Linked DNA regions of Coturnix japonica. The protein of the gene in region 2 interacts with the protein of the main gene of each other region in a pairwise test. Links are inferred from orthologs where the notes say so. Each region holds a gene or a part of one and is shown on either strand. Other genes may lie near its edges.

Region 1 (15,502 bases), on a different chromosome or scaffold from region 2:
GGATGCCGCCCACGAAGACGATGAGCAGATAGGGGATGAGGAAGACGCCTGGGGGGGGGGACGCGGCCGTTCAGGGTACGGCTCAGCCGTGCCGTCCCCCCCTCGCCGGTCCCCCCCGCGCCGCCCGCCGGGCGCAGCGAATGGCGAGCGTCACTCGGCGCACTCCCCCTCGCCGCGCGCCGATGTAGGTCAGGGCGGGCAGGTGGCGGACCCCCACCACCCCCCCCCACACACACACACACCCCGCGCCGGGGCTCACCTCCTCCATTGCGGTAGCACAGGTAGGGGAAGCGCCAGACGTTGCCCAGCCCCACGGCGTAGCCCACGCAGGACATGATGAAGTCCATCTGCCGGGTCCATGTCTCCCGCTCCGGGGCGGCCGTTCTGGGGGGGCCGGGGGCTCCCACCAGCGGCGCCGTCACCGTCCGCTCCTCTCCCGCCGCGGGGGGCTCGGTGCCCTCTGCCGGGACACGGACGGGAACTGGGGGGGTGGGGGGGCAGCGCCGCGTCACCAGCGCTCACGGGTGGGGAGGAAGGGGGACGCGGGGGGGGGGGGTCCCCATGTCCCGCGCGATCCCCCCCCGCGCCCCTCGCTCCGCGCGTGGGGGCGTGACGTCAGATGTCAGCCCGCCGCGTGACGTCACAATGCGAGCGGTGACTCACCCCGCGCGGGACCGGAGGGGCGCGCCGCGGTCGCGCGTCGGCCGTGCAGGCCCCCCCCCAACCACCCCCCCCAACGCGCACCGCATCCCTCCCCGGCCCGGTTCAGCCCCGCTCTTACCGGAGCCCGTCGGGGCGGCGGCGTCGCGGCTCGGGGCGGCGGGAGGCTGCGGGGCGGCCGTGTCGGCGGGGACGGGGGGCATGGCGCGGGGGGCCGGGGACCGGGGGCGGCTCGGGGGCGGCTCCGTGCCCGGGGGGAGCTCAGAAGCAATCCACGAAGCACTTGAAGGTGAGTCGGAAGAACCTCATTGAGGGCGGCGGGGCGCGGCGGGGCGGGCCGGGCCGGGCGGGCGGCTCAGAGCCGGGCTGCGGGGCCGGCGCCGCGCGGCCGCTCCGGGGCTCTCTGCGCCGCGGCACCGGGCGGCGGCGGAGGCAGAGCCGGGCCGCGCCGCCCCTCGAGAGCCATTGGCCGCGCCGCCCGCCCGCGGCTTGCCGGGACTTGCAGTCCGCCCCACCGGCACCGGGACGCGGGCACCGGGCAACGGGACGCAGCGGGTGACGGGGCGAACACGGGGTGAACGCGGGGCGCTTGGGGCGGCAGGGCGCCCCGGGGGACGTAAATCGATACGAAATTGAAGGAGGAAAAGACCTCTGAGATCACCTAATCTGATTGCGATTGCAGTTCAACCTTCAGCCCACCCCCACCGCGCCTACCGAGCAACGTCCCCGGGCGCCACATCCACCGCGGTGCTCGGGGCCGTAGGGCACAGCGGGAGACACCTGGGTGCACGCGGGGACACGGGGCACGAGGGCACATCGGGTGTTCCCCGACAGCAGCGCCACGATGCACCGGCACGGCGGGTGACAGCGCCGGGATGATGCTGCATGGCAACGGGGGCTGTAGGGAACACAGGGGGCTGTAGGGGACACTGGGGCTGTAGGGAACACCGGGGCTGTAGGGGACACCGGGGGCTGTAGGGGACACTGGGGCTGTAGGCAGCGCGGTGGACACGCAGTACCCGGGTCGCAGCCCGGGGCGGGCAGCAGGCAGCAGAGACGAGCGGAGTTCAGCAAGTTTAATGAGAGCAGGACAAACCCCGACCCGTGCCCGCCCCCCACCCGTCCCGGTGCCCAGCCCGGCCCGCAGCCCCATGGCGGGTGCCCGCGCTGCTCTAATCGACTTCTTCCATGCTGCTGTAGGACGGCGCCGGGCGCTCGGCGGGGCTGGAGAAGCGCTCGGGGAGACCTTCCGCAGCCAGCGGCGGGGCTCCTTCGGGGGCCAGGCCGGATCCGAACGGCACCGCAGTCAGTCCCTGCAAGCAGAAGGCGGCCGTGAGACAGTGCACGACGCTGCATACCGCTCTACTCCCACTCCGCTCCCGGCAAAGGCCCCGGCTGGAACGCAACGAGCCCGGAGCGGCCCCGCACACGGCCCCGACCTGCCCGAGCGCTGCAGCCGGGCTGCGGCACGCTCAGCATCGCCGCTACGCGCCGTCCCGTCCCGCACCGCCGCCATGGGCCGCTGCGTTCGGTCCGGGTCCGCGGGGCGGGAGCGGCAGCACGGGACGGAACCGTCACCTGCGGTTGAGGCAGGTGCAGGGAGCGGTGCGTGGCCTCGAGCCCGGGGCGGCAGCGCCAGGCGGAGCAGAGGTCACCCCGCAGGCGCCGGGCGCTGACTCAGCCCCACGAGGGCAGCGCCGTGGGCGCGTGGGGGCCCCAGACCGCAGACAATGAGGCGACTGTTCCAGGGCAGGAACGTCCCGACGGCGGGGAGCACCGGGCTGGGACCCGTGTGCAGGAATAAGGGCCGGGCAGCACAGCTGTACGACGAGGACAGGGATGGGGGGAGGTGGGGGGACTCCAGGGGCTGCACTGCCCCGCTCCAGCCTCCCAGCGCTGACGGGGCCCCGACCGTTCCCACTGAGCATCCTTCCTGACACACACAAGGGCACTGCCGGCAGGACGGCAGCGGAGACGGAAAAGGAAGTCACAGGGCTCTGAAGTCACCTCTCAAACCCAAACACTCCCGAGCAGCCCGAGCCTCGCTCAGCCAAGGGCAACACGTCTCAATGTCACGCACCGCTGCAGCTACAGGCCTTGCCCCAGCCAGGCAGTGCTGTGAGCTGCCAGGCCCGCCGGGCACCCAGCACGTGCCACGGCTGTTGCTACACACCTGGGGCCCCTCGGCACAATCAGAGCTCAGCCTGCACCCCGCTGAGCACAGGGCAGCACCTCAGTGCCGGCTGTGCTGTGAGACCAGCTCAGGGGCAGGGCAGGGACACTCCATCCAGCTGCCCTTTGCACTGGAGCAGGCTCGGCTGCAGAGCCTCTGGCTGCTGCCACGGTCCTGTCACACAGAAGGTGCTGCAGCTCTTTGGAAAACCTGCCTTTATTGGCACACGCCGCAACGTGCAGGAGAGCGACGCTGCCAGCACAACCTCCCACGGGCCTCCTGCAGCCCAGCTCCTTCCTGCTGCTCCCCGAGCCCATGCCAGTCCCCCAGTGAGGTGCTGCCTCGTGCTCCCCCAGACCCATCCCATTGTAAATTGGGACTTCCAGATGCAGACAGGGACAGTTCAGGGAGTGCTGTGTGTGCCCCAGCACAGTCTGCCTGGGTGCTGCTCTTCCATGCCCCAGGGTGAGGAGCAGTGCTGAGGCCAAGGCCCCCGACTGAGCAAGGAAGTGCAAAGCACACGGTGACAAGTCATCCAGTCCCCGCACAGGAGATGATGCTGGCCTAGAGGGATACAGCTTCTGCCGGCTCTTTAGAATGTGAGGCTCCCAAAGCAGGGAGCAGTGGGACCAGCGATCGTGTCAGGGCATCCTGCTCTCACAACAGGCTCCGGGCAGGGCTCTGCTTGTTGCCAGGATGTTCCCAGTGGCAGCGGCACCGTCCTTTCCTGAGCAGCATGTACCACTGGGGCCAGCCCCGATCCAAGCAGGCAGCCAGGGCGAGGGCGGGCTGAGGGGATGCTGGTTCTGGGCTGTGCCCTGGCAACGCTGGGGGCCGGCCACGCAGCCCTGCCAGCTGGCATAGGGGATGCCAGAGCAGACAGACAGGAGCCGACAGCCCCAAGCTTCCCTCCGAGAGCATTGGTGCCCGCAGCAGGCGTGTCCTTCCCACAGGGTTCTGTCCTGCTGCCCGCAGGGTTCTGTCGGGCCACCTGGCAGCTCTGACGTCTTCGTGGTGCAGCATTCTGGCACGGCGTGTGCCCCGGCAGCCCTGCTCTGTTTGCCCACACCTATCTCCAGCGGGTTTGGTAGATGAGCGGGTAGAACACATTCAGGAAGAGAGCCACGATTGCGGCCGTGGTGGCCAGGATGAAGTATTTGATGCAGCCTTCGTCTGGGTGTTGGGGGGTACCCGGACTCCTCTTCTGGCCACGGGGCCTCCAGGAGTTTCTTGCAGGCCTTTGGGGAGCCTCGAGCTGCAGCTCTTGTTCTTCAGCCTCCAGTTCCTGCCAGATCAGAGAAGCCTGCGATGTGGAAACCTGCGTCAGCACTTGGAGAACACAACTGGCAACACCCCTCGCCATCCCCCGGGGCAGGCGGCCGCCTGCGAGCCCAGTCCCGTGCCCCACCAGCCCACCTCCCCATGCAGCACGGTCGCACCCGCCCCCACAGCTCCTCAGGCTGCTCTGGTGGGTGCAGGTGATGCAACAGGAGCAGTGTCTTTGCAGGAGCCAGCGGCTGGATCCCTCTGCAGTCGATTCCGTGGCACTGACGGATCCATGCGGGTGAGGGGGCGGGTAGCAGCCCATCACAGCTCAAGTCTGGTGATCCCAATGCGATTGCTCAGATGATGCCAATTCAGAGGCAGCTTGCATGGCAGGAGAAGGAGGCACGGTCGCAGCACAACCAGTCCCAGCTCTCCTCTGGTGGGTTGGGATCCTTTGAGAGCCAATCACAGCTCAGCTTCCAAGAGGATTATCTGCAGGCAGCCGGTCACAGCCCAGCCCTTCCCAGTGCTGGTGATCACGCAGGGCAGCCAATCAGGACACCGGGTCTCTGGAGGATGCAGGTGATTCCAGGCACTTGGAGACCACTCAGCCCAGTGAGATCCAACACATCCCATCACTGTGCAGGACACAGTGCTGCTGAGGTCGCAATGAGCCCCCAGGGATGCAGCGAGGCCAAGTGCTGCAGGGCACACAGCGGTCCCCAGCACGGCAGGGATCCCACAGCCAGCACAGGACAAGTGGAGCAGCCTTCCTGTGGCTGCTCAGCACACACACCCTTGTGACAGGAGCAGCACCGTCCCCCAGCAGAGAAGGCAGAGCCAGGACACCCAGCCCACGTGAGCCAGAACAGCTTGGATAGCCAACCACAACGTCCCTATGGGGCACACGTGTTCAGCTGTGCCACAGCCAAGCACTGTCCTCAGATCCAACGAGGCCAGCACAGAGCGGACCCAGGGGAGCCTGGCAGGCAGGTGATTTGCTACACCACCAGCCCAGGCCTTTCTTTCTGACACTTCTGCAAAGATCAGTCCAACCATGCCCTACTGATGAGTGCTGAAAGCACTCTTTCTGTCAGCGCACCCTCCTCACCCTTCCTGCAGCACAGTGTGCTCTGGGCAGTTTCCCATCAGCATCCCGCAGCTCACAGGCCTCTGGCTCAGTACTTGCATTCACCTTTTCTGCAACTAGAGCAGCCCCATCCTGGGCCAGAGCAGAAAACATCCCCACCCTGTCCCCAGGAGGCCGTGCCTCCTGCCACAGCCAGCTCCCATTCCACCGTTCTCAGCCTTCCTCAGTGCAGAGCCCAGCAGGGCACAGCCCCCTCCTGCCCCTGCAGCTCTGTGCCCTCCCACCAGCACTCCCAGCACAGCGGCTGGAACCAGCTCTCCCACCCTTTAGCGACAAGACTGTTCCGAGCTCACAGCCAGAACAGCGCAAGGCAGACCCCAAAGCCCAGCTGGTGCACGCTCTTTGGTCTCAAAGAGAGGTGGCACAGCACCGCAGCGGTGCTAGGCTCCACGGGGTCCAGCAGGTGGGCACATGCATATTTCAGGGCTCTGTGGCTCCAATACTGGAAGGGACACAAGCTCTCACCTGACTGGCAGCAGCTTCAGCAGAGGGGGTGCGCTCGGCTCGGTGGTCTGGGGGGTGCCCTGGCAGAGGTCTCTCCACAGGAGAGTTCCTCCGGCGGTAGAAGAGGACATATGCGTATCTGGTTACCACCTGGCTCTCGTCCACAGTGGTGACTGTGCTGTCATCGAAGAGCCGCCAGCCTGAGAGGAAAGAAGGGTTAAGCAAGGAGACCGTCCACAGCTGCAGGGGAGGGGAGGCCGGCGGATCCTCACCCACGTCACTGCGCTGGCTGTTCTTGTCGTTGGGCAGGCGGGCATATGCCGTGTAGTGCCCGCCAATCATGCCTCCATAGTGATTGATTACAGCATACAGGTCATACATAGGCAGCTGTTGCTCACCCTTCCGGCCGATGCAGAATTTGCTTAGGTCCAGGCTCCTGAGGACAGACACAGGGCTGGTCAGGGATCAGCCGGGCAGCACAAGCAGTACTATCCCCAGCAATCCATCCCCTGAGCTCTCACCGGACAGGGAAGTCAACCATATCATTGATCTTGTCCCTCCAAATAAAGCTGCGGAAGGAGAAGCGCTTGAGCTGGATGATGAGGACGTTGGGCAGGCGCCACAGCATCAACTGCTTGGAGGCCTCGCGGTGCTGTTTGCACTTGGGGCAGTACCTGGGAAAAGTATGTGTTCATTACCAGCATGTAGAGAGCCCTGGGTTTCTGAGCCCAGCCCAGCCCTAAGCTCCCCCGACGTATGGATGTGGCAGAGGAGACAGGAGGTCTCGGCCTCCCTGCCAGAGGCAGGACAGCACAGCCCCGCAGAGTGCTGGCACTGCTCCCTGCTGGCTTCTGGCCCCTTTCCCCAGCACTCCTGGCTGCCGGGAGAAATGTCAGGCAGGACCAGGCAGCTCCCGGGAAACCCCCGCTGCTGCCTGCGCCTGCAGGCTGGAACCCGCCACGTCGCCTTCCTCACCACGCTTCCTCTGGGGCCAGGACTTCAGGCTTGGTGAAGAGATTGAGGCACTGCTCCAGGGTGAAGTGGCCAGCTCGGGCTGCTTCACTGGCTGAGCTCGGATCCTCCACGCACTCCAGATCCTTGGACTCCACCAATACAAATTCCTTGAGGCGCTCATTGTTCTTCCACACCAGGGCAAGGGAACAGTCATCCGTCAGCTCCAAGGGGGTGTCACCTGCAAAGGGGCACACACCTCAGCCAGCTGACCCCCAAGCCCACCCGGACTAGACTAGGAGCAGTCTTGCCCAGCCCAGTTTTAACACAGCACAGCCAAGAAGGTGCGAGTGGTCCTGCCACACACCCCCACTGCCGAAGCTAGGTTCTCCGCCCCAAAGGGAATAAAAACAGCATCTATTCAGATAGGAGGTGATCCAGCCACACAGATCTCTGCTCCTCTTTGAGTGTGGGAGGTCGAAAGGAACCGGTTTATTTGCTCAGGGGAGTAGGAGCTTGAGAAGAGCTTCCAAGGAACAGGCACGAGCTCTGCACGGTGCAGCCCTGCCCTCCCACACCAGACACAGCTTTTGCTGCACAGCCTGGGGCTGATGGCATACCTGGGCTTGCTCTGGCCCTAGGAGCCTCTTACACCCTGGCCAGATAGATCCACTCTCTGCTAAACGCCACGAGGGATGAAACTGGATCTCCCCAGGGCTCCAGGCTCACCTTTATCTTCCAGCTTATACTCTTTGTTGGCAGCATCGATCTTGTTGATGTAGAACTGCGTGGCACGGGCGCTCAGCGAGTCTGGAGTGTGCTGGTACCCAGGGATGGCAGCTGTGGATAGGCAGGGACATATCTTTAGTGGCACTGCCTGTTTGCCCTGCGTAGGGGCCAAGAATTTGCAGTGCCCCCACCCCCATCTCACATGCTACGGCCTTGCAGGGACACAACCACGTGCCCAGTGTCCTTGACTATTTTTAGCAGACGCCTGCCCCTGGCAAGCTGCGCTCCTCTGCCTGCCTTGCCCCTTCACTGCACATTGCTGCCATCCTGAGACAAGTGTCTGGAAACGTGACAGCTGGGCGCCCAAGTGCAAGAGGCTGCTCCTGTGCAGCTGAGTCAGAGCGAGGGAAACATTGCGCTCACAGCCCCGAAGGGCTCAGCACTGGGCTCTGCCCTCCCACGAGACTCAAGGCTTCTGCCAACCCCTGCCTCCCCACCCCTCCAGCAGCCCAGACTCTTTCCAAGTCAGGTCTTTGCTCTGTTACACAGGCCCTGCCAGGGCAGGGCAGAGCGTGGGCTGTTAGGCATTTCAGGTGGGGCTGCACTTCTAAAACATGGCTCCCAGAGCTCCCCATTTATCCAAAGGGGTCTCCAGACCGAGCCGGGTGGGGAAAACAGACACTGTGGGCGAGAGGTGATGCCAACGAGGGAAAACTGCTCCCTGCCTTGCTGGGGGCTGCCTGGGCTCCTGGCACAGACAGGGTTAGCACCGCAGCACCTCCTACCTTCTGGTTTGAGGGCTCTCTCGTAGGAGGGCTCTTTCTCGCAACAGCTGTCACCCTGCGAATCCATGTGCTCAGAGAAGCCCGAATCCAAGCTCAGCAGGGAACTCCTGGCAGCCAGGACCTTGCTCCGAACAGTGCCAGTGTCACTAATCTCCGGGTGCAGCTCAGGCACAGCTGGTGAGAGGGGAGGCTCCTGCAGGAGGCCAGAAGCCCTGTCCCCGTCCCCCAGCTCAGGAGCAGAGGTGGCGGCGGCACAGCTGCCTTTGGCCAGGGGCTCCAGCTTGTCTAGGAGCAGAGGCTGAAGCCCCTGCTCTGGTGACATCCGTCCCAGCTGGAAAGGAGGCTGAAACACGCTGACCGAGTACCTGAGCAAGAATTGGACAGTTACAGCAGGCCAGGTACAGGGCTGGGCTCAGCTCAGCTCCTGGCTGTGCTTGCTGCTGTGACAGAAGCACCTCCCTTCCCTGCACCCTCACCTTGCGTAGCCCTCCAGCAGCTGCGCCAGGCGGGCGTAAGTGAGGCGGGATTCCGGCACACTGATGAGGAAGGGGAAACCGATGTTCTCAGGGCGGCACAAAGCCTTGTGGTCTGGCCAGTGTGTCTTCTGACACGTCCTGTAACACATAGAGCCCCAGTGAACCCAGTGCCTGCAAACAAACAGGCAAGACCTCAGCAGGAGTTTGGTGGTGCTCAAGAGGTGTGTCTGGGACAAGAGGAGTGCTGCAAGCCAGACTGGCTCCTTCCCAAAGGCCAAGCCCATCCCACCTCCTCCCAGTGGGCTGAGTGCTCCCGCTCAACCCTTCACAGCTGGAGACCCTCCCTCCCTGTGAGGCACCAAGCCAACTCACACGTTGCAGTAACCGACTCGATAGCACCTCGTGCAGCGCCTAAGCTTCTCTTCCTCTGACAGCTGCTTCTTCTGGCAGGCTGCACACTTGGCGACAGGGACACTAGGTACCTGTGGGCGCTGCAGGAGAAAGAACCCATTGGGCATGGCAAGGCACCTGGGCAGGATAAGGTAGCCTTGTCAAACCCCTGTGCTTCCTGCCCATGGTAGAAGTCATTCACCAGGATGGGCAGCCCTTTTCTGCAGGCAGAGTGCTACCAGGGCCATGTGCTGGGCACACATCAGCCAGTATGCCAGACTTGTGCAAGCTAGCACTGCTCTCCCCATCCCGCTCAGCCTCCTGGCAGTCTCAATCCCTGCTGCTTACCTGCTGGACCTGCAGCTCCACAACCCGCTCTTTGGCCAGCTCTGTGGACAGCACCTCGAAGCAGAGCAGCAGGTCTGTGGGAGAGACTGTGTCCAGAGACTGGGACGGCAAGAACATGCGTTGGAAGCGATTCTTGATTACCTGCCGGGAAAGCAGTGGAACAGGACTGTGTGAGGGCTGCCTTGTGCTCAGAGGGCTGTCCAACTTTTCCTCTCCTGAGGAAGCCACATAGTGAGCTGTGGAAGCAGTAGCATCACAGTGATGGTGTGCTCTGCCCACCATCATGACCTGGTATCTCTGCCTGCTGCGCTGCAGAGGCCCAGCTCACTTGAGCAGGATTCTCCCTGGCAGCACCTCGTGTGTGACACTACTACCCACGGACAAAACTCACCCCATGGACAAGAGGCTGCTAGTGGCAATGTGTTCAGCACAACTGTGGGACCCAGGGGCACCCACACAAGCAGCCCACAGCTTGGTGGTCAGTTTTAGCATTCTCACCTCTGCTAGGCGCAGGTTGTCTGGTTTCACATGCACACTGTGGGCCACCGAGTCGAGTACTTCCATGGCACTGGAGTTTTCCTTGCTGATACTCACGAGGAACTGCCACAGTGTAAGTGCCACATTAGTAATGCCACATTAAGGCATGCAGGCCCTGGCTTAACACAAGGTTCACAGCCCACTTGCACAGGACCAGCTGCCTATGGCACCTCCAAGAGCCCCCTCAGGCTACCTCCCCAAAGTAATTAGTGTCCTTTACCTTGATGGGTTTCTTGTGCGGCTCCTTTGCAAAGTAGTAGACAGTCAGCACCTTCTGCTTTTGCGGGAGGGGGACTGGGAGGTACAGGAAGGGATCAAAGGTGATGGACACCTGCAGACGAGAGAGCCCACTCAATATTGGGAATTGTTTATGTCTGAGATCAGCAAGGCAACAGTCTCAACAGACTGGAGATCCAGGGGCACAGCCAACAGGGCTGCTCTACCTTGGAACAGACTGGGCACACCAACTTGGATTTGTACTGGCCCTGGAATAGGTCCACAATGAAGGAATCATTCCTCATCTTGTGTCGCTGCCAGGCCTCCTCAGCTACCACCTGCGGAGAGAAAGGGCTCAGCTAAATCACATGGGCCAGGGCTGCTCTGTAGCAGCCAGTGCTCACAATAGCCTTGGAGACAGACATCCTCACCTCATCAGGCCTCCCGTCTGAGTCAACAGTTTCTGTGTAGGGTTTGTTCTGGATGCGATTGAGATCTTCATGCAGGCCATCAAGCAGAAAGGCCATAAACTCTTGAGCATCGTGCTGGGCATAGCCAGTGAACTGGCTGGCCTTGCTGGCCACAATTGCCTGTGGGGAGCACAGTCTTCAGCCCACCAGCAACACTGCTTGCCCCATACTCAAAGCCTGGCTGCACCCAAAGCAGCAGAGCAGCACAGAGAAATGCTGAGACCCACAGCTGAGGACAATGCAGCAGCTCCCACAGAACACTGGTACCTACCTTCAATTTAGAGGGCTGAAAAGCATGGTGTGTGCCTTTCCACAGTGCTCTCAGTAGCATAGCAAAGCCAATGGCCAAGCGTCCCCCTGTCCCAAGGGGGTTGTTGTAGTTGATTTCAGACTCAAAGGATCGATCTGTAAGAGATGAAAGAGAGTGAGGGTGGCTGCTGGCTGCACAGAGTGGCAGGGCTTTGCTGAGCTCCAGGCATGTGCTCACCATGGAAGTAGTCACGCAGCTCCCGCGTGTTGGACAGTGACTGGATGACACTGTTCATGAAGCAGGTATTGCCCAGATTCACCAGCCCCGTGAAGCCAGGCAGGCACACCTTCTTCTTCTCATCTTCATCCTCATCATCTTCCACACTCTCAGTGCTCACTGGGCTGTGTGTCATCGGTGGCACCATACAAGTTGGTTTGGGCTGCCAAAGCAAAACTAAGTGTGATGGTGCTGTGTACTCGGGGGTCTCTGGAAACATCCAAGCCACACCTCATACAGGGCTGGGCTGAAGCCATCATCCACCAGAACAACTGCTGTCCCCAGTTCTGCCAGCTATGCCAACTCCTCCCCCAGGAACAGTCTGCCAGACCCCACAGCAGCACCAAAGGAGGTGAAGCCCAACCAGAGGGACAAGTTGATCCCCACTTCCCCCCACAGCCAGGTCAAACACAGTATAGCTCCACTCACCGAGGGGATGTGCGGCTCTTGCTTCACTGCCACGTGCTCTTGGGCTGTACGGGCTGCCACACCATCCAGACTCCCATCCTCGACACGTGGCTTCTCTTTCTCACTGGTTCGGGCCTCCTCTTTGCTGGACAGGGGGTGCTGGTTACTGCCTGGAGGGGTCTTATCCAGAGGGGTAGGGCCTGTAGGCATGGCAACCTTTGCACCACCCACTGCACCTTAAAAAGGGGGAAGAGTGGGCCTGTGGTTAGCAGCACCGTGCACTGCCCACGGTGGGGCTGAGCTGTTTGCTCAGCATCTTGCCTACTCCCACCTTCCAGTGCAGGAAGGTGAGCAGCAGTGCCTTTCCTGAGTGACCGGATTGCCTGCCCCACAACCCTCCCTCCCCATGATCCCATTCCAGAAGACCCAGTGCCTTCCAGACACTGCAGGTGGCAAGGAAGGCACTAGGTACAAGCAGGCAGTCAAGACAGAAAGAAGGCAGGGTGCAGACCTCGTGTGGCTGGAGCCTCCAGCCCTCCCCAGCGCTGGCTATGGCGTTTCTTCAAGCAGACATCAATGCGAGATGCTGTGAAGTTGTATGTGCACTGGTCTGGCTCAATAAGGTTCCTGCAAAACACACAGAAATTGAGGATCATTCCAGCCTCCCCAGCAGCCTCAGAGATGCTGAAGTCTGCAAGGCAGGGCCACAGTTTCCCAACTGGCATCGACCCTGAGGGGGGGCTCCACAAAGCAGTACAAATGCCCTCAAGTCTAGCCACACTGAGCACACAGGGGACCTGCCTTCTGGGAGATCCATTCTGCCTGGTTCATATGCCCAATCTAGTGGGATGTCTCAGCTAAAGCACACGCAGCCTGGTCTGGCTCCACCCCCAAGAGCTCTAGATCAGGCTGGGGAAAGACTGCAGATAATGGAGTTTTATTCTCTGCAACCATCCCAGGACTGTGGTGTTAGAACAGTATGGTGTGATGGAGACACTCAGGTGCAGAAATCAGTATGTCCTGGAACTGGCTCCTGCTCTCAGCTTCCTCATCTCAGTATAAGCAGGCAGGATGGAAGCCATACCTGAGCTTCACCTGCCACCGGAACACTGTGTGGGGCCCACAGCCAGGATGGAGGCGAAGGAAGTTTATGTCACTGCAAAGAAATAAGGAACAAGTGAGAAAAGGTGAATAAAGTAGCCTGGCAACAGCCAAAAGCTTCGCATCAGCTTGATTCCATTCAAAAGTGCATTTGTACCTTGTCTGGAACACCAGTGTGAAGTCTTGCTCCCGGAAGAAAACCTTGGAAGTCTCCTTATGAATCTCCTTCACATAAACGTGCACCACCACCAGGTCATTGCCCTTCTCATATGAGTCATACTTGACAAAGGTCAGGCTCACAAGAGGCTCTGGCTCTGAGCAAGGAAAGACATGAGCAGAGATCACCTTCACTGCACTCCAAGGCAGCACTGCAGGTTGGCCAAGGAGAGGTCCTGAGCAGAGGAACTTTCCCAGCCATGCCAGTCTATAGATACTGACCCCTGGGCCACTCACCATCAGCTGCTGCTTCCAGAGCCACATCGTCCTTGGACCAGTCCCTCTTCTCTCCATCTCTGCCTAGGGGACGTGTGGCTGATGGGATGGCTTTAGAGCTCTCTCCCAAGACTGGTGCACTCTCCCGGCCCCGTGAGGCTTCAACAGGGCTGCCTGGCTGCAGGACTCTTTTCTCTACACAGGTGGCAACACAGTGGGGGAACACCTCTGTGGTAGCAGCAAGTGGTGGCATCTCCACAGGAACAGTCTCCTTGGCCATAATCACAGCCTTTCAAGACAGAATGATAGTGAAAAAGAGATAATTTGACCCCTTGTGCCACCAGTTCAACACTTCTCCACAGCCTGCTGCTGTCAGCCAAGAAGGGACAGTCCCACATAACCCACACACCCCTGTCTTAGCACCCTTAGCACTACAGCCTCAGCCCAGCAACTGAAGGCTCCTTGCACCTGTAGCATTCATTCCCAAGTCCTAGCTTATATTTCACCCACCCTTTCTCCCAGCTAGGCCCACACCAGCCTTCAGCACCACCAAGGGTCCAGGAACCCATCTCATTCCATAGCAACATACCTTCTCTAGTGGTGGTGCGAGGTCAGTCAGGGCTGTAGGCCCATCACCCTGGCTGGCTCTGCCATTGCGACGGCTGCCTGACCTCCCGCCATGCCCTTTGCCGGGCTCCACGCTCCCGGTGACTCTGGTATTTGGCTCCTCTTCAGTTGGAGCCACTTTGAGGTATACTGCCCGCTTGGCGCTGGGGCCACTCTGTGTCCCTGGGCTGGCTGGGCTTTTCCCTCCCAGGGCCTCGCTTCTTCCCTGAGCACGCTTGGGGTTGGAGGGCTCTCTGCGGGTTCTTGGAAGCTCAGTGCTTTCAGTCCGTGGTTCTTCAGGGGCCAGTTCTGCAGATGCAGCCTTCTCCTTCCCGTTCTCCCAGCACATGGCCCCTTTGCCCAGCTCTTTGGATCCATCTTTCTTTCTCTTCTGTGAAAAGTAGTGCAGCACAGTGGGAACACAGCCAGGAAGCAGTACCTGTCTTGCTCTCTACCAGCCCCTCACCCTTACTCCCCCTTCCCGGGGCACGCCAAGGTTCTGTTCCAGAACCCAGAGGCTGTGGCAGGAAGGACAGGGACATGACAACATGCCCTCCCTTGGCTCAATGCCCTCATGCAGCCTGGGGATGCAAGATGTGTCCTAAGATGCTCCCTGGGTCGGGGCAGCTCTAGAGCAGGGAGTGAAACCCTCACCCAACTCTGCCAGGCTCCATACAGTTGCCTGAAAGGTAGAGGTCCCCTCGCCCTCACCAGAAGCGAAGACCAGGTGTGGAGCGGGATCTTCTTCTGAAGCACAAGCTGCAGAAAATTTCCCTTTTTGCACTGTATCTTGCTGCAGGAGCCCTCAATCTCCTCATAGAACTGACAGCTCCACTGGCGCCCATCTGCAAGAAAAGGGGGGTGGAACCTCAGGCAGTGCAGCAGGCATCAATATACTCTACCCATAGCCCTCCCTCACCTGCCTCAGGGGCCAGGAGAGCTCTTGTCTGAGAGCCAAAGAGGCTGCAGGCAGGCTGCCACCACATCCCACGAACTTTCAGGATGATGCCAGCTTCATTGAGTTTGCTTTGTACATCTGGCTGGCCTCCTTCCCAGAGGGAAGGTGCTGGGTCTCCCTGCCCTCAGGGGCATGGACACTTCTGCAAGGGATACCCAGCACCGACTCAATCATCCCAAAGGGCAGAGCAGTGATGCATCCAGCACAGCAGTGGGCACCTGTTCACTTGGCAGGGAAAAGCCAGCTCCCACCCTCCCCAGCCATACACCCTTCTTCTTTTACACTGCCCTCGTATCAGCCTGGCCTGCTGGCTGAAGCTGTGCCAGCTGACAGCGGGGCATTGCCTCTGAAGGAAAAGTTTTATGCTCGTCTGGATCAGTCCCACATCCAGTCCACAGGCGTGCCAAGCCCTGCTGGAGAAACATTTGCAGCAGTCACTCCATTCCCTGTACCTGGTAGTTTGATCACACAGTCAGTATCGGTGAAAAAAGTATCCACGTCCTCCACCTTCAGAGATCCACTTCCCAAGTTCAGCTTGACAATGATCTCATCAGCATTCTGCTTCCAGTCCAGCAGCAGCTCTAGGAAGAGGAAGGGAAGCATCAGCCACTTGTCCAGCCAGAGTGTGTGGCCACAGTGCTCACATCTGAGCTGAGGAGTGTGAGCCCAAACACACATCTGGTTGAGGACATCAGGACAGAGGACACAGCTCATAGCAGTGAATGAAAAACAATTGTAATCTACTCGTATCAAGTCACAAACAAGGACTTGAGCAGCAGGTTGCAGCAGGTCAGGTGAATCCCAGTGGGAACCAGAGAGATCATGAGGCAGAAAGGCTTGGCCCAGTCACGTGCAGCAGCGGGGCTGGAAAGAAAG
Region 2 (16,211 bases):
CCCAGGGATGCAGCCCCACACAGCACAGCACCAGGGCTGCTGCGGGTGCTTCTTGCACAGAGATTTCCTATTTTTTAGGCACATCAGATATTTTTCAATTTATTTTCCCATTTACCTCAGAAGTCATTGGCCATTCTGAATTACCAGGGGAATGCAGAACAGCTCCCCATGGGGCAGCCAGCAGCACAGCTCAGAGCTGTGCTTTGCAGGGCTGCACCACATGCCAGGTGGGCTCACAGACACCACCAGCTGCTTGCTTTGTTTCCAGGGAGGAACGAGAGCCATCGTGATGGCTGTACAAGCAAACATCATTAAATACCTGCTCTTCACAAGGAACACGGAACACAGTCACCTGGAGAGGTAAGCTGAGCCTTCCTGGGGAAATATACAAACCATTTCCTTGCATTGTTTGAACTAAAATAACAGCACCAGCCTCTAAGTTGTATCAGACAGAACATAACCAGGTTTGCAGATGCAGATGGAAATATGCACCTGCAGCAATGACGTGCCTGGCTCCCTCCTTGTTGCTGTAGGAGTGAGGCTTGCTGCCTCAGTGCAACCTCTGGTGTGACAGTTGCTGCCCAGTATCAGGCTCCACCTTCGGGCATGGGGACTCGCAGCATCCTCAAGGACATACCTACAACTGTTGGTGGTATGGGGCTGGGCAGGTGATGGGGACATGGGCACAGGGACACAGGGACACAGACCCCTGCTGCCCCTGCCCACACCTGTCTGCTGTGCTCTACTCTGCCCTGCGCTGCAGACTGTGCAAAATCAGCCAGAAGGAGCAAGGAGAGGCCCTGGCTGCAGCGCTGGCAGACAGCCTGTGGGCAGCGGGGGACGGTCGGAGAGCCACGATCTGCATCCTCACTGCAGCCACACACTGCTCCCCTCCTGCGGGCTCCAAAGCTAACAGCTTCACTGAGCAGGTGGGTATGGAGATGCTTCCTGCAAATACGGCTTCTTAAAAGACATCTGGTCTGAACTGCCTACAGACCAGAAACATCTCATTAGCCTGCTCCTACCTTACAGTGCACCACATAACCTAAGAACATCGGAGCCATGTCCAGGTGGGGCTCGGCAGGTGTTCCTGCCTCCTTTTGAAGGCCTGACTTCTTTGTAGAGCTCATTTGTTTAACTCTGGTCTTCCTTCTGTTAGAAGAAGGAACAAGTTGACTTAAAGCCTTTCCTTAACTTCTATCTGTTAACTGCTTGCATAAAACTGAACTCTGCTGTTCAGGAAGGTCAGTGTGGGTTCCTGTGTTTGCCTTTCATTTGGAAACACTGAGCTGAAAAATTTCACTTCTGGATGTTCCATCTGCTCTGTGGTTCCTCACCTCACACTCCTGCCCTACAGATCCACCTGTTTGAGTTCCCCGAGAAAGCAGCAGCTCAGGAGTTTATCTTTGACCATATTGGCTGTGTATGTATGGAATATCATCTTCTTTTAATTTTGTTTTGGTTTGTTTTCATGGCAAATTGGCAGCAGCTTGTACTTGGTTCAAACAGGTTTCTTGTACCTTTAGCCAAAACCTGGAAAAACAGACTAAAATAGGTTGGCCAAGAACTGGAAGTTTCTTTTATTTCATCTGATTTTAATCAGCAAAACTGTAGCAAAGTCTTCCCAGAGTAACACCCCATTCACTGATCTCACTGTGTTCACCTGGCATTGCAGTTAAGCAGAGGATTTGCTCTAATTAAGCATCACATAGCCACTGTAATTCCTTCCCTGATTACTTCTTTCATTTCTCCAGTTCAGAGATGAAGGAAATCATGGACTGATCCTGTTTTTATACAGTTTGCTCTTCTCCAGGACGCTGGAAAGGTATCTTTCTTTTTAAAATCATCTTTGCCATTTTTCTCTGGTTACATCTTTTCTTCCATTACTTTAATGCTCTGTCCTGGGCTAACAGGGAGCAGCTGGCTGCGTGCTGAGGAGAAAGGTGCTGCTGTCATACAGCATCACTGTGTGCTCGTGCTGACACGACTGGCAGCAGCAGAGAGAAGCAGACATGCAGCTCTGTGTGCAGCTTCATATGCAGCTCCGTGTGCAGCTCCATGGGCAGCTCCAGCTGCACACAAAGGAGGAGCAATGCGCTGTGACAGAACAGGAACTATCCCACAGAATCATAGCTATGCTGAATTTAGAAAAATCACAAAAGCGTCACTGTGTTAGCAGGGGAAACTGAGAGAATCTTTCTCAAACTGATGTAAAACGATCTGTGCAAAGACACAGATCAGCAGCTGAGCTGTGCCCATGTCACACCCACGTGCCGCTGCGACCACAGCTCAGCAAAAACTGCAGTGCTGCTGCAAATAGTTGCACTCAGGTTAAACGTGGGTGTAACTGGAGGCTTCCCACAGCTGCACCGCAGAAGGAGAGCTCAGGTAGAGCATGAGGCCGCTGCATTGGGACACTTCTGTCATACCAGTGAAAAAAGAAAACGAAACAATTCTGTGCTATTTCTTCCTGCTTTCCTTATTGCTCACACGCGGTGCGCGCAGCTCCCACCATCACCGGTGTGTGACAGCAGCGCTCCGTGTTTGGCTGCGCAGGGTCCGGGAGGAGCTGGGCGGCACAACGCCACATCTATTAGAACGCAGCTCTGGAAACGTGGTCTGCACGCAGGTAGGATCAGCCCGAGCTGCCAACAGACTTATCGCTGTTACCTACGTGTGATTTAGGAAAGCACCCCGCTTGTTCGTCAGACAAAGAGGGTGGGCTTTGCGTGCGGGCTGTGCGGGCGGTGCGGGGGTCGCGCAGCTGGGCGCTGACAGCGGCTCCTCCCGCAGGCTGCGCTCCTGCTCGTCCTGTCGGGCAGCGCTCGGCCCGGGCAGCGCAGCGAGGTGGGATTCCTGCGCTGGGGCGGGGAGGAGGCCGAGCGCCGCCTGCCCCCGGTAAGTACCGCCGACCCGGCCCCGCATCCATCCACCCGCCTGCCCTGACCCCATCCCGGCACAGGCACCTGGGGCAGCGCGTGGAGCCCCCCGGAGCCACGGCACCCCCGGGGCTGCTGGCTCGGGACCCCTGTTCAGGGCTGCTGTGTCACACCACCTGTCACACCCGACCATCACACAGATACAATAAGGGCAAACAGCCACAAGGCACCTAAACCTGGCACAGCAGAGCACTGAGGAGCCCTGGCAGCGCTGAATGCCCACCGACCATTCTGCCCCTAGGTTGGCAGCATGCTGAAAACTCCCAAGTTCCCCGTCTGGTTGTGCAGCATCAATGGGACTCACAGTGTCCTTTTCAGCACCAACCAGCTGCTCCTGTCCGACTGGAAGATGGAGCACGTCTTTCACCTGTACTTCTACAACGGGCAGAACAGGCAGACGAGAACAGCCCACCTGACCGTAGGTGCGTGCCCAGCCCGCCCAGAGCACTGCACTGCGGGTGTCATGTACAGATGTGTGCATGTCCAGCCCCACACAGAGCCCATGCTGCAGGGCACCCACACACTGATGCACACATACAGCACACATCTGTATTTCCCCACCCAGAAGCAAAGTGCCCCCAGGCACCTGCATTCACCTTGAGCCCCACATACCTTCAGAACCGTGTTTCACTTCAGATACCCACTCACATCACTGGGAAGAGGGCCGCTGTGAGGCCGTGAGCAGCCCAGGGAGGAAGGTTCCATCGCTAGAGATGGCCATCAGGACCAAGTGGCCAGGGGCAGCTGTCAGATGGAATGGCACCCAGCCCTTCTTCTAAGCTGCCCTCCGCCCCAGCACCACCACCAGCACCAGCAGCTGGCACCACCACAGCCCTCAGCTGGAGCTGGCAGGGGAAAGGAAACAGCATGGCAATGGGGTCATGTCCTCCCAGGCACAGATGTTCAAGAAATAAAAGTCTATCATGAAAGTGCTGACCAGTGCTGACAATACTGTGTGCATCAAAATCATTTGGCCCAGTGTGAACATCCAGTTCCACCACTTACAATGACCAAGGTTTGCTCCCAGCCCTCCATACCCAGCCCCCTCCTGCTGCCCGCAGCAGGCACAGACCTGACCCGCAGCATCCCACAGGCATCTATGCAGGCCATGCGCACCACCACGTTACAAACTGTTCCCTGCTTCCTTTTTTAGACCTCGCCCAAAAAAGCTGTTAGTCATACCAAAAATGTGTGCTGTAATGACAGCTGTCTAGAGAACAATAAACCTTCCTGACAGATACCCGGAGATTCAGACCCCTGGATGAAAAATAGAAAAGGAAAAAAAGAGGGCAGTCAGAACCAGCCTGCAGTGGTGCTGGGACAGGAGACGGGAGCTGCTGGGGCTCTGCACTGCTCCCTGATCCCCTCCTGACATTGCTGCTCAGCTCACAGCTCTGCCAGTGCCCAGCAGCATCTCATTGTCCCTGCTGGGGCTGTGCAGTAGCAGCTGTACCAGGACAGACAGAGCCCTGGTGAGTCATGTCTGGTGCTCAGCGCTGCCATGCGTGGGGAGGAACCACACCACAGCCCAGGGCAGCACAGGGTGGCTTTCAAGGCAGGTCAGCTTATTGATACTTGAGAACACCTTGTCAAGGTAAGGAAGTCAGTGTTCATGCTAAACAGAGCATACTTATTCTACCTGAGGAATACTCGTATGTGCTCAGGCAAACAATGGATTAATAAAGCACGAACAGAGACATGAAATAAATGCCAATCAGGTTTGACTGACCAGCGCTGAGGGGCGTGCTGCATGGCCAGGCATGTTGTGTGGCAGTGCCAACTAAATGAGTTCCTATGAAGGTACAAAGGTGCCGAAGGACACCATTCAGAGCTGTGTTCCAGGTCAGTGCAGCAGCAGTGGTCAGAGCACAGCTGGCAGCACTGGGCCCCAATGCCACGTCCTGCACACACAGCTGCACTGAATGCATACGTGGGTTCAAAAGAAACAGGAACAGAAACGTGCTGCACCAGACTGAGGAAGCAGCCCCACTGCCTCCCTCGGGGCTTCACCCTTCCTCCCTCTCCCCATCTCTGTCTGTTTATAACCTCTGTGCAGTGCAAGGCTAAATTTAAGACAAAAGTTCCCCTCAAAGAAAAGGAAGCCCTTTCTGCAAGCTAACAGCACACTTACAGATGCTTTAAAAATAAGAAGCAATAACAGCAGTCTGGATGATGGTTAAACTTGGTTGGAAAAAGCAGACAAAAAGCACAGATGAGAGAGAGGAGAGCTCAGCAGCTCTGACACCTCACAGAGCCCCACACTCATAACAGCTCAGCTGCAGATTTTCATTTCTAGCCTGGAAATGTCTTTGCAGAAAATGCACAGACCCGGCACAGCCCACACAGCAGGTGCTGACGGACACACGGATAGATGGGGTGGGGGCTGCCTGAGAAACGGCCCTGAGCCTTGGTGAGGCACCCAGGAAACAAAGCCAGATGTGTGGGTGAAACTCACAGCACAGCACGGCACCTCGTGTGAGTCAGCCTCAGAGACGGCGAGTATCGGAGCCTCACAGCAGCTACAGCACCGCACCTGGGAGGGACAGGGGCAGGGGCACGGAGACAAGGGTTTCCCTGACGGGCCTTGCGGGGTCTCCAGAGAGCTCTGCCAGCACCTGCAGGCAGCAAAGGAATCTCAGCTCCTCCACCGCTCCCCTCGCAGCCCACCCTCCTCCTCCCATCTCCAGCAGCTTTGGATTGTGGTGGGAGCACTGCCCAGCTTCACGGTCCTGAGCACCTTCAGGGCCATGCCCAGCTTTGGGGCCATGCCCATACTTTCAGTGCTGGGTTTGTGGGACTTGGAGGTCAGAATGCAGCAGACCGTTATCAGATATTTATTACTGCCACTCATAGCCTCAAAATGGCTTTACAGACCGCAAGGATCAATCTCCCTGATCCTCAGCATACAAAACCAAACATATCAGACCATAGTTGTATGTTGTTCTCCTTTTTGCTCTGAGCCTGGCTGTATATGGAGGGCACAATTTTTAAACCCAAATTAAAAAGCCGATGCCTGTAACAAAATGAGAAGTGCACCAGGTGGGCAGCGATGCCCCCGCAGCAGCCACGGCCCATCCAGGGTAATTTGCTCCACGCTGTGGCTCTGCAGAGCACCCCTTTGCTGGAAGCACAACTGCTGGGCAGAGTGCCTGTAACCCAGGCACACCCTGATAGTTTCTGTATGTTACTGCTGTACATTTAACGGCAGGCTCTGAAGTGCAAAAAAGAGTGGAATAGCCACATTCTAGCACATAAATAGACATATAAAGTATTTAAAACTACTCCGTGGAAAGTACAGGAAAAGAAGAAAACCACGGGTTTTTTTGGTATAAACACCCACCCGTTCCAGTGTGTTTGTGAAAAGGCCGCTGTGTTTGCTCTTTCCTGTACTGCAGAACACACAACAGGTCACAAAACCAGGACGGTTCTTCTATGGGTAAAAATGAGACATTGTCATAACGTCACGGGCTGGGGGAAGCTTAACGGGCGGTGATCAGAAGGTCATGGTTGGAACATCAGCATGTGTGTATGAGACGTTCTGCTTTGAAACAAAAGGACACACACACGGAGCTGTGCTGGGGACCCCCCTGCCCCACAGCCCCATGTAGGTTTCTCCCAGGCCGGACAAGCACACACACACCACGTCCAAAAACTGCTGATTTCTGTCTGCCCCACTCCGCTGTTACACTCCATTTGTTTGGGGGTGGGGATCAGAAAAGGCCTCTGCACCCCAGGATTTGGAGAGAACCTTGGGGTCCCTTTATTCTCAGAGCTCCAAAGAACTTCCACACCTATGTCAAAGACTCTCAAGAGAGAATGGCAGAGGAAAAGCAGCATGTTGGCCATGTAACTCAAGAGAGGACAGAGCACAGCACAGCTCACCCCACACTATGGCTCGTTCTGGCTTTGCCGTGGCACAGCCTTCAGTGTGTCTGAATGCACTGCACATTACTGAGTGCCAAAGGAAAAATAAAACCAGAGCTGCAGTCAAAGCATTGTTCTCTGGTACCTTGGACTGCATCATCTTGCAAAGCTCGGCAGTGCTTCACAAGGAAGAAAAAAGCAGAACTCCACTAACACTGCACCTCCTTTTAATGAGAGCACGGGCAGTGTCTCAGTGGAACTCCTCGCAGGGCGCACAGCCACCAATGAGTCACACATGGTGCACGCCCGAGCAGCGATAACAGCACCATTCTGGGAAGTGCAGCCACACCTCGGAGGAAAGCGTTGCTCATTTAAGGGCAAGAGGAGTCAAGTCAGCAGCAGAACTCTCGGGAAAATGCTGTATGTCATGTGCCCGATGAGCTGACGGGGAATTCAAACCACAGCCCTGTTCATGGCCGCCCCGTCCGCTGCGCTGCTCAGCGGCACCACGCAGCGCTTTGTGCGCCCAGAGCCGCATCCAGCCCGGCGCAGGGACAGACAGCAACCACGGCAGCGGGCAGGGAAGCGCGCAGCTTCAGCCCCGGCTCTGCCCGCTTCCTTCTTCAGCCCCGCCGGCAAATGAAAGGGACGCGGGGACATTCCCACCCCCGGGCCGTCCTCACTTCTCCTCCGTTACCAAAACACAACGCGTTTAAACCGGTGTTTTATTTTCAACATTCTGTTACGGGGGGGATGAAAACAGCCCCATTTCTTTTACCCGACCTCCGCCCCCAAGCAGCGCTGCAGCACTGTTCCATTCTCCATCAGACCCATCTCTCATCGTTCCGTCCTCCCGCTCGCTCCGCTCTCACGCCCCGTCCCGTCCCCGCGAGGAGCCGCGCTCCTCCGCCGCTGCTCGCGCTCAGCACGGCGGCTCAGCGGTCCTCACGAGGGCCGGCACGGGCAGGGATCGGGCCCGAGCCCACGCGGATAACGGCGCCCGGTGGGTTTCCTCAGCCCCGCGGGGCGTCAGCGCCACCGGCGCCCCTTCATCCCAGCGCGGCCGGACGCGGAGCGCAGCGCCCTCGGTTACCGCAGCGCCCTCGGTTACCGCAGCGCCCTCGGTTACCGCAGCCCCGGACGGGCCCGGCGGACGGAGCCGCGTTCTCTCCCGGCATCGCAGCGTACCGGGCGGGGCGGGGCGGTGCGGGGCACGGTGCTCGGGCCGCCGCTGACCGCTCCCGAGTCTCGCCCGCTCCGTCCTGGCACCGCAGCCGTGGGCGCGGCGCTCCCCTGCCTCCTCCTCCTCCTCATCCTCATCCTCCTCCTCCTCCTCCTCCCCCGCTCCCCCCGCCGCCCCGCTCCGCTCCCCGCCCCGCCCGTCCCCCGGAGCATGCTCGCTGCGGCGGGGCCGGGCCGGAGGCTGCGCGCGGCCGCCTCTTGCGTCAGCGGAGCGTTCCGGGCGGGCGCGTCGGGTCCCGAGAGCCGCGGCCCGATGGTGGCGGCAGCGCGGCGCCATGAGCCGCCCTTCGTCCGCCGGGCCGGGCTCTAACAAACCCTGCGGGAAGCAGCCGCCGCCGCACGCCCCCGCCCCGGCCGCCGCCGCGCCCGCTCCCGCCGCCGCCACCATCGCCGCGTCCGGTGCCGGATCCTCCGCCGTGCCCGCGGCCGCCGCCGTCCTCTCCGGGCCGGGCGGGCCCGTGTCTCCGCAGCACCACGAGCTGACGTCGCTGTTCGAGTGCCCCGTGTGCTTCGACTATGTGCTGCCGCCCATCCTGCAGTGCCAGGCCGGGCACCTGGTCTGCAAGCAATGCCGGCAGAAGCTGAGCCTCTGCCCCACCTGCCGGGGCTCGCTGACCCCCAGCATCAGGAACCTGGCCATGGAGAAGGTGGCCTCGGCCGTGCTCTTCCCCTGCAAGGTGAGCGGACGGGGCGCCGGGTTGGACGGGACCCCCTTTCTGCTCACAGCCCTGCTCCTATTTCAGACGTGACAAAAACAACTCGTTTTCTCTCATCGTTGAAATAAGCGCAAGTGGTAAATGCGCTCGTAGGTACGGAGCTGACTTAATGCGGACACAGGGCGGGACGCAGGGCTTCATCTTTTGGAAAAGAAACCTCGCTCTTCGCAGCTTCCATAGGAGCAGCGATGCTCTGCGTCCCGAGAGCTGGGGCAGGGTTAGGGACACCTCCCTTAGGGAGGGTCCTGCTGAGATCCTTTAACTTGTCACCTCTGCCTGGAGCTGCTGCCCCATTTCTGAGCCTTCTTGTGGTTCTGATCCCTCTGAAGAAAAGGGAATCCAGTGAGGATTCATTTCGCTGTACTCTTTATGTTTAGTCCGAGGGCAAGATGTGGAATCCTTTCTGCACTCCACATCCAACCGTAATGTTTTGCTTTTAGAACCACTAGGCGTAGTGAGGTTGTGTATCCATTGAAAGGGCTCCGGCAGCATCGCACTGAGCGCTGCCCCCTTCGGCCGGGCGCAGGGACAGGCACTGCAGCCTCGGGCCGCCGCTGCTTCGCTGTGCAGCTGGGAGGGAAGAGCAGGGATGGACTCAGCGTGTCATTCCCGGCTCTGCTGCAGATTTCCCCTGCAGCTTCAGACAAGGTGCTTTAATCCCATATACACCCTGCCTTCATTCACTGACCTGGCTCTGCTGAGCACCTTCAAGCTTAGCCAATGTTTTCAGAATGCTTTCAGGCACTCACATTACCTGTAAGGGGAAGTCCAGGGTAACGCGAGTGAAGTGACGTACATAGCAACAACACGGAATGCTAAGTCATTATGTGGTGATGGCTGCAGGGCTGCCTGCTTCCTCTTAGGAAGGTGAATGTGGTGCAAGTAGTGCTGTGACGAAAGGTACTCGTAAAAGTGGAATGCTGGGAGCGAGAGAAAGGCAATGTGAGAGCACGGAGCAGTCACATCAGCTCCGGCATTTGTGGTGCACCAGCACTGCCTGCACCCTGCGCTCCTGCCTCAGGAAGGACACAGGAGAAGTGGAAAAGGTAGAGCCGTCAATGAGATGGGCGGTATCATATGACCTGCACGCAGGGAAAGACCAACAGGCTCTTTGGTTTGAATGAGGATATGGTAAATATCGGTGACATGTGCCAAACAGCATGAAGGCAACAAGTGCTCTGTGTTCCCAGAAGATCTGTGAGAGTCCCTTACAAACCCAGAGCGCTCCGTGAATCTGTTCACAACCTCCTGCTCACCAAACAAAACTGCTGCTGTGTGTTCAGGAGCCAACAGAAGGAGGTGGGTCACAGCAAAGGAAAAACCACAGCTATTTCCTCAGCTCTCTTCCTTGTGTGTTCACCACTGGTCACTTTCTGATACAGGCTGACACTACGCAGACGTTTGCTTTTGCCCATCCAGCAGCTTACATGTTCTTACTGCTTTTCTAACAGGGTCAGACCGAGAGCGGTTCTTCAGCAAAGTGCAAAGCGATTACATTGCCAACAGGGGTATGAATGTAGAGTGAAAACAGCAGAACAGTGAGAGTGGAAGCATAGAACCCAGCGGCAGGGAGCCGTGCTCTGCATGGTGGGTTTCTGCCTGCAGCAGGAGGAGCCCTGGTTGCACCGCAGCACACCTCTGTGCTCCTGTCACAGGTGGATAAATCCTGTCACAGAGGATTAAGCAGCAGAGCACACGTTATGGCTTATAAAGCAAGCTCTGTAGAAGCACAAGGTCTCGTTTCTGTCCCAGCAGTTGTAGCACTGTGCTGCAGTGTGGGTGATTTGGCTGCAGTAAGGAGGACTGTGGCGTCTGCATCTCAGGCATTTCACTCTTTGAGCTGAAACTAATTGTGTTTGCATTTAACCCCAAAATACGCTGTTAAACTTTGATGAATTTGGACTTTGCTTAGTTGAACATTTTACAAAAAGTCTGTCCAGACTTGTGTTTCCCCAGAGATTGTCTTGTTCCTTCAAACATTCTCTCACCTTTGGTCTCAGAGCACAGTCCCTGACCCAAAGAAGCGTCCTACCTCCTGTAGGCAGCCACACGTGGGCTGTGATGGCGGGACCGCATGAGCAGAGTTGCAGAAGTCTCTCCAGCTGTCTGCAGATGGGGGGAGCTGTGCTCCTGCTCAGAGCAAAAGACGCGTTTCTCCTTAGAGGTAGTGAGGAAGAAACGTGTTCAGTGCAGACAGCGACTCGGTGTTGAAAAGGAAAAGCATCCCTGTTTGCTGAAAGCAGATTAACCTTTGGAGGTGCCCGATGACATTAAGAGCAGTCACGCGGTGCTCACTTGTGATGAGCTCTGTGCTCCATAAAAAATCAGCATCTCTCTTCCCACTCTTTGAAACCGTGGTGCTAAAACTTGGGATCGTGGGTCTGAGTTTAATGGAAGTAGGTCTGCTCTGTGTTTATTAAAGGATGCTGTTGCAGTAGCTGTTTGCTGAGACTGGCATCCTGTGTGCTTTCTAAAGAGAAGAATCCATACTGGGACCACTTCAGCTGATGTGGACTGTTCAGGTCTAACTGCAACAGCAGATGATCTACAGCTCAGCCTTGTGGTCCATTTCATCTAAGTGCTTGCATTTAAAAAGCAAACAAAAGCCAACAGCTGCCAAGTACTGGAAGAACCTGTTTTTAAGAGGAAACAAAAATAAGCCCAGCTCTGAATCCAGCACCAAATAGAGGCGTCTCAGTAAGAGTTGCAGTGAAAATGAGAGTTGTGGTTGGTTGCAGGGGGGGCAGTGAGCACTTACGCTGGGTGGTTCCTGACGGAGTCTGTTTGCTCTTTTCCCAGTACGCCACGACAGGCTGCTCGCTCACACTCCACCACACAGAAAAGCCAGAACACGAAGACATCTGTGAGTATCGGCCCTACTCCTGCCCGTGCCCCGGCGCCTCCTGCAAGTGGCAGGGATCCCTGGAAGCTGTCATGTCCCACCTCATGCACGCCCACAAAAGCATCACCACCCTTCAGGGAGAAGACATCGTTTTTCTTGCTACAGACATTAATCTTCCTGGTGCTGTTGACTGGGTTATGATGCAGTCTTGCTTTGGCTTTCATTTCATGTTAGTATTGGAGAAACAGGAAAAATATGATGGTCACCAGCAGTTCTTTGCGATCGTACAGCTGATAGGAACACGCAAGCAAGCAGAAAACTTTGCCTACAGACTGGAGCTGAACGGCAACCGGCGCAGACTGACCTGGGAGGCCACCCCGCGCTCCATCCACGACGGGGTGAATGCGGCCATAGGCAACAGTGACTGCCTTGTTTTTGATACCGCTATAGCACACCTTTTTGCTGACAATGGGAACCTTGGAATTAATGTGACCATTTCCACGTGCTGTCCGTGATATATTTGTGTAGTTAGCGAAACGTCGGCGGTCTGGGCACAGTGCTTTACGTTACTGAGGATTTTCTTTCTGTTCTGGGTTTTTTAGATGCTATTCCGCTATGTCGTTGTGTAAGTTAAGGTTCCTAACTAGCCAACGTTTTTAAATTTGGAGAGAAGAGGAACAAGTGTGTCCTGTAAGGAATATAAGTGAGGAGAGGTTTTCTAAATTCTTGGGTGCCTTAGGAAGATTTTCCCCACACACAGACACCTTTTTAAATGTAATTAATTTAAAGAAAGAGTGCTTCCATTAGACATGTGGCGTGAGAGATGTGAAAGACTGCATTCCTGTTTAGAGTGCACCTAGAAGCCCTTTCAAGCAGGAAAACAGACTTGCTCTCACTGGTGAACTTCAGGAGTCCTTAGCAGGTGGGAAAAGAAGGAAATACAAGCAGCTTATCATAAGTGATGAGGCTCAAGGCATATCAGTAGGTACTTCAGCATTGCTACTCCATTTCCTGCTGCCTTATTTAAAAGGATGGGCGCTGGATCATATGCTGCCTTTTTAAAAAAAGAGTGGGGAGGGAGTGCTGGGGTGAAGCCCAGCAGGTCTCAGAGGAAATCGCTGGCTCTGGTCTGTGTGAGGGACACTAAGGAGCCCTGCACACAGCACAGCTGCTTACAACCAGCTCCTGGTCGGGGGCACAGAGCATAATATTCCCAGATAGCTAGAGCCAATAATACAGAAATATATTCAGGCTGTCCATGTGCAGCTTCCCTTGGAGACGTACTTGGTCACTGTAAAAGATTAGAATAATACAGCAAGAGCTTCATGGCCAGCGTCATGTCATTTGCTATTTAACTTCTGTTGCCATATTTACTTTTATTTTGTAATAAATATTTTGCAAAAACAACACGGTGCTGCATGCTGTCCTGCTGCACGTGGCGGCTGCTGCCAGGTCCCACTGCCAGCCCTGCTGCTGGGAGACCCACCCTGAAAGCAGCGTGCCTTGGGGGCTGGAGCTGCCTGCAGGTCCCACTCTGCCAACAGGAGCCTTTTCTGGGAGTCACTCACAAAAACCACAATCTCTGCATGTCTTGGCTGAGCAGCGAGGTGCCATTTAGAGCCACTGAGCCGTGAGCTGACACACAGCTGAATGACCTGGAGGCGGTAAGACTTGCAGCAGTGGAAAACTACATGTAAAAGGGCAGATGGAACTTGGTGTGAATAAACGTAACACCCAGGGAGGAGTGCTGCTCCCAGCCACGTGTGTTCAGGGAAGAGATCTCTGGAGTTACAGCACAAAGCCCCATGCAAATGCCAGGCAGTGCTGGGCAGCCGTCCACAGAAAAGCACAAGAGAAATGGATGGAAAGCATCAGAGAGGGGAGGCTTGCTCTGTCCTTAAGATTTGGAAGCAGCTGTGGAAAAACCCTCCCAAGGAATTCCTCTAATCTTTTTGTATCCAGTTCCCATAAGGTGCCACATTGGATCTCATTTGCACTGTGCTAGCAGAACTCCAGCATCGGCCGAGCAAACTCACTTCTGCTTAAGCAGGATCAAACTCAGGCCCTGGATCTGATGGGAGTTAACACCTGTGCTTTGAGCAGGGCTTGTTAAGCACGATTTCCCAAGAGTTTAATTCATGTTCCCATATCTCGGTACCATTTATAGTGGAAAACATTTTTTCTTACTGAAAATTTGAGTTGGGTCTTAGCAGTTTCCTGTGTTAAACAACACTCCAAAGCAAGTCATCGCTATAGCGGGATTCACGACGTGGAATTAATTACTCCAACACTGCCCGTAACCCACATCAGATAATACAACATTATTTCACTGCTGTTTCCTCCACCATTCCTTTCCTCTGATAGAACAGAAACTCATGTTATATTTTAAAAAAAGCAAACCCAACAAAACAAGAAAAAATATGTTAAATAAATAAATAAATAAATAAATAAAATAAAACCCAGAACAAACCCCAACCCCCACAACACGCAGTGTCTTTAAACTGGATTTCTGTCACCCGGCCCAGGTGCTCCAGGTTTCCCTGCTGGCACCATCCAAGGCCACGAAGACAGGCAGGTGCTGGTCCGGACCATCAGCCGCCCGGTCACGCACCGCGGCAGCACCGGCCACCCCGGCACAGCCCCGCCACCGCCACCGCCTCCGTCCCGGCTCATCACGGGGCCCGGGCGGTACCCGCAGCAGGAGCGGTGCCCGAGAAGGGTTTTTCCATTGACGCGACGCATCGCTGGCAGCTCTTCCTAAGAGCATCCTCCGCTCTGAACAGCAGCGCAGGAGCCGCGGGGACATCCGCGCAGCCCCGCAGCCCCGCAGCCCCGCAGCCCCGCAGCCCCGCAGCCCCGCAGCCCCGCCCCGTGCGTCCCCCCGTGCTCCCCGCACCACGCGCTGCGCCACCGCCCCGCGTCACCACGGAGACCGCACGCGGCGCAGCAACGGCCGACACCGAGCGGGACCGGGAGAGCTGCTCGTACCGCCGGGAGGAGGCGGGGAGCAGCGCGGGGCCGAGCAGCCGCCGCCCGCTGAGCTCCCTGCGCATCCATCCCCTCGGTGCGCGCTGCCCGCGTTGCTGATCGCGTACGTTGGTACGTTGGGTGTGATACGATATTCTTCCAAGGCAGCTGCTTTGGAGTCGTTGCGCAGGATTAACACACGAGTTTCTGTCTCAGGGAACGGACATGGACGTGCCGGGCGGTGCCGGTGCCGGTGCCACACAAAAGCCGTCGCAGCAGAACGAAGCGAGCCGGCTCCAGGAGCAGGACTGCACAGAACCACGTAAGAACAGCCCGGTGCAGCTGCGGGACAGAGCGCGGGGTGGGGGGACTCCCTGCCAGCCCACGGCACGATGGACCCCAAGGAGCGGCGCCTCGGGGCTTCGGAATGGAGCTCACAGCACAGCAGCCCTTCAGCTCCTCCTGCCCGTCTGCGCTGCGCAGCCTGGGGCTCAGCAACCAGCCCCACTCACCGGCGGAGGCACCGGGAACACGGCAGTGACGGCTTCTGCCTGGTCCCTGCCCCTCCGGGCATCACCTCGAGCAGCCCCTGCTTCCCTTCAGTGCCGGGCAGGCCCTGTGGGGACGGGCAGCTCCTCGGGGCTCTGTGAGCAGCCACGCTTCATGGCACAGATTGACTGCAGAGGATGGCAACTCTATCTCCTTAAACTGCAGCTTCACAAAGTTCATACAAAGCAGCAGCCACATCCATCAGCTCTGACTGCCCACACAGCTCCACAGCACTGCGTTCCACTCCCTGCCCCGCATTCCCCACAGCCCCCACAGCTCAGGCAGGAATATCACCTCATCTCATCCAAATACACATTCTAACTTTCTCCTGTTTTCTGATAAGAAGGATTTAGGAGGGCGGTAGCAGATGCCCAACCACGAGACACCCCCTGCCTCCTCAAAGGCTGAAGCCCCTCCTCGCACACACACAGAGATGCAGAAACCAGCCCCCTTCCTGCTCCTCAGCACCACAGGAGCAGGAGCAGGGAAAGTTCCCCCAGGTGTAGTGATGCCGGACCCCTGGCCCCACGCAGCGGGTCTCCCCTGAGCTGCTGCAGCCCAGCACAGTCCCCAGGCAGCCCCAGGGGCTGTGCAAGGCCTCAAGGAACGTGGCTGTGCTGTGCAGCAGCTCTCAGCACTGCTCTTGCCTGCAGCTCCACCAGGAGAGCCCAGCGGACTGGACATCACGTGTGCCATGGAGGTAAAGACCACTCAGTCCCTACAGCAATGCGTTTATGCCTAAAGTTTTTTTCCTTGAACAAAGCTATGACCCCACACTCTTTCCCCCTCCCAGTTCCTAGAGGAGTTTGTGGAGCTGCTGGCACAGCCGCTGCGCACGCTGCCCTCCATCGGCCCACCAGCCGCGCTGGCCTACAGACCCGAGGTGCTGCGGGGCTGCCTGCGGGCCGAGGTGAGTCACTGCTGGGTGCTCGTCCCATGTAGGAGATATAACAATAATGCCTTCTGTGCAGTCTGAGAAGGGCTCCCTCGAGGGGAGATTTCTCTTCTGTCAGGATGTTGAGGAGATGCTCATGGTACACACCTGAGCAGCAGGAGGCAGAGGCACGCTCCTCATCCTGTGCTGGGGATCTC

The links.
Region 1: the proteins of SIAH2 (region 2) and USP19 interact in a two-hybrid assay, tested with the Homo sapiens proteins (2 studies listed by BioGRID). The link is inferred for Coturnix japonica from reciprocal best matches to the Homo sapiens genes SIAH2 and USP19.

What each region holds. Positions count from the first base shown.
Region 1 is NC_029527.1:9,095,568-9,111,069, reverse strand, and holds the end of USP19 (ubiquitin carboxyl-terminal hydrolase 19), read right to left. Parts: intron 15,208-15,502; coding exon 15,079-15,207; intron 14,514-15,078; coding exon 14,380-14,513; intron 14,060-14,379; coding exon 13,652-14,059; intron 13,352-13,651; coding exon 13,084-13,351; intron 12,945-13,083; coding exon 12,788-12,944; intron 12,686-12,787; coding exon 12,614-12,685; intron 12,157-12,613; coding exon 12,041-12,156; intron 11,766-12,040; coding exon 11,551-11,765; intron 11,285-11,550; coding exon 11,083-11,284; intron 11,001-11,082; coding exon 10,867-11,000; intron 10,716-10,866; coding exon 10,557-10,715; intron 10,464-10,556; coding exon 10,353-10,463; intron 10,241-10,352; coding exon 10,130-10,240; intron 9,973-10,129; coding exon 9,871-9,972; intron 9,514-9,870; coding exon 9,373-9,513; intron 9,126-9,372; coding exon 9,007-9,125; intron 8,773-9,006; coding exon 8,635-8,772; intron 8,524-8,634; coding exon 8,159-8,523; intron 7,485-8,158; coding exon 7,374-7,484; intron 6,886-7,373; coding exon 6,669-6,885; and 9 more. Other genes in the region: sodium- and chloride-dependent creatine transporter 1-like, read right to left, coding at 83-162, 260-460, 782-863. UniProt on the Homo sapiens protein: Deubiquitinating enzyme that regulates the degradation of various proteins by removing ubiquitin moieties, thereby preventing their proteasomal degradation. Stabilizes RNF123, which promotes CDKN1B degradation and contributes to cell proliferation.
Region 2 is NC_029524.1:20,982,150-20,998,360, forward strand, and holds SIAH2 (E3 ubiquitin-protein ligase SIAH2), read left to right. Parts: upstream 1-8,211; 5' UTR 8,212-8,320; coding exon 8,321-8,722; intron 8,723-11,560; coding exon 11,561-12,118; 3' UTR 12,119-13,012; downstream 13,013-16,211. Other genes in the region: ERICH6 (glutamate-rich protein 6), read left to right, coding at 14,796-14,892, 15,773-15,819, 15,913-16,029. UniProt on the Homo sapiens protein: E3 ubiquitin-protein ligase that mediates ubiquitination and subsequent proteasomal degradation of target proteins.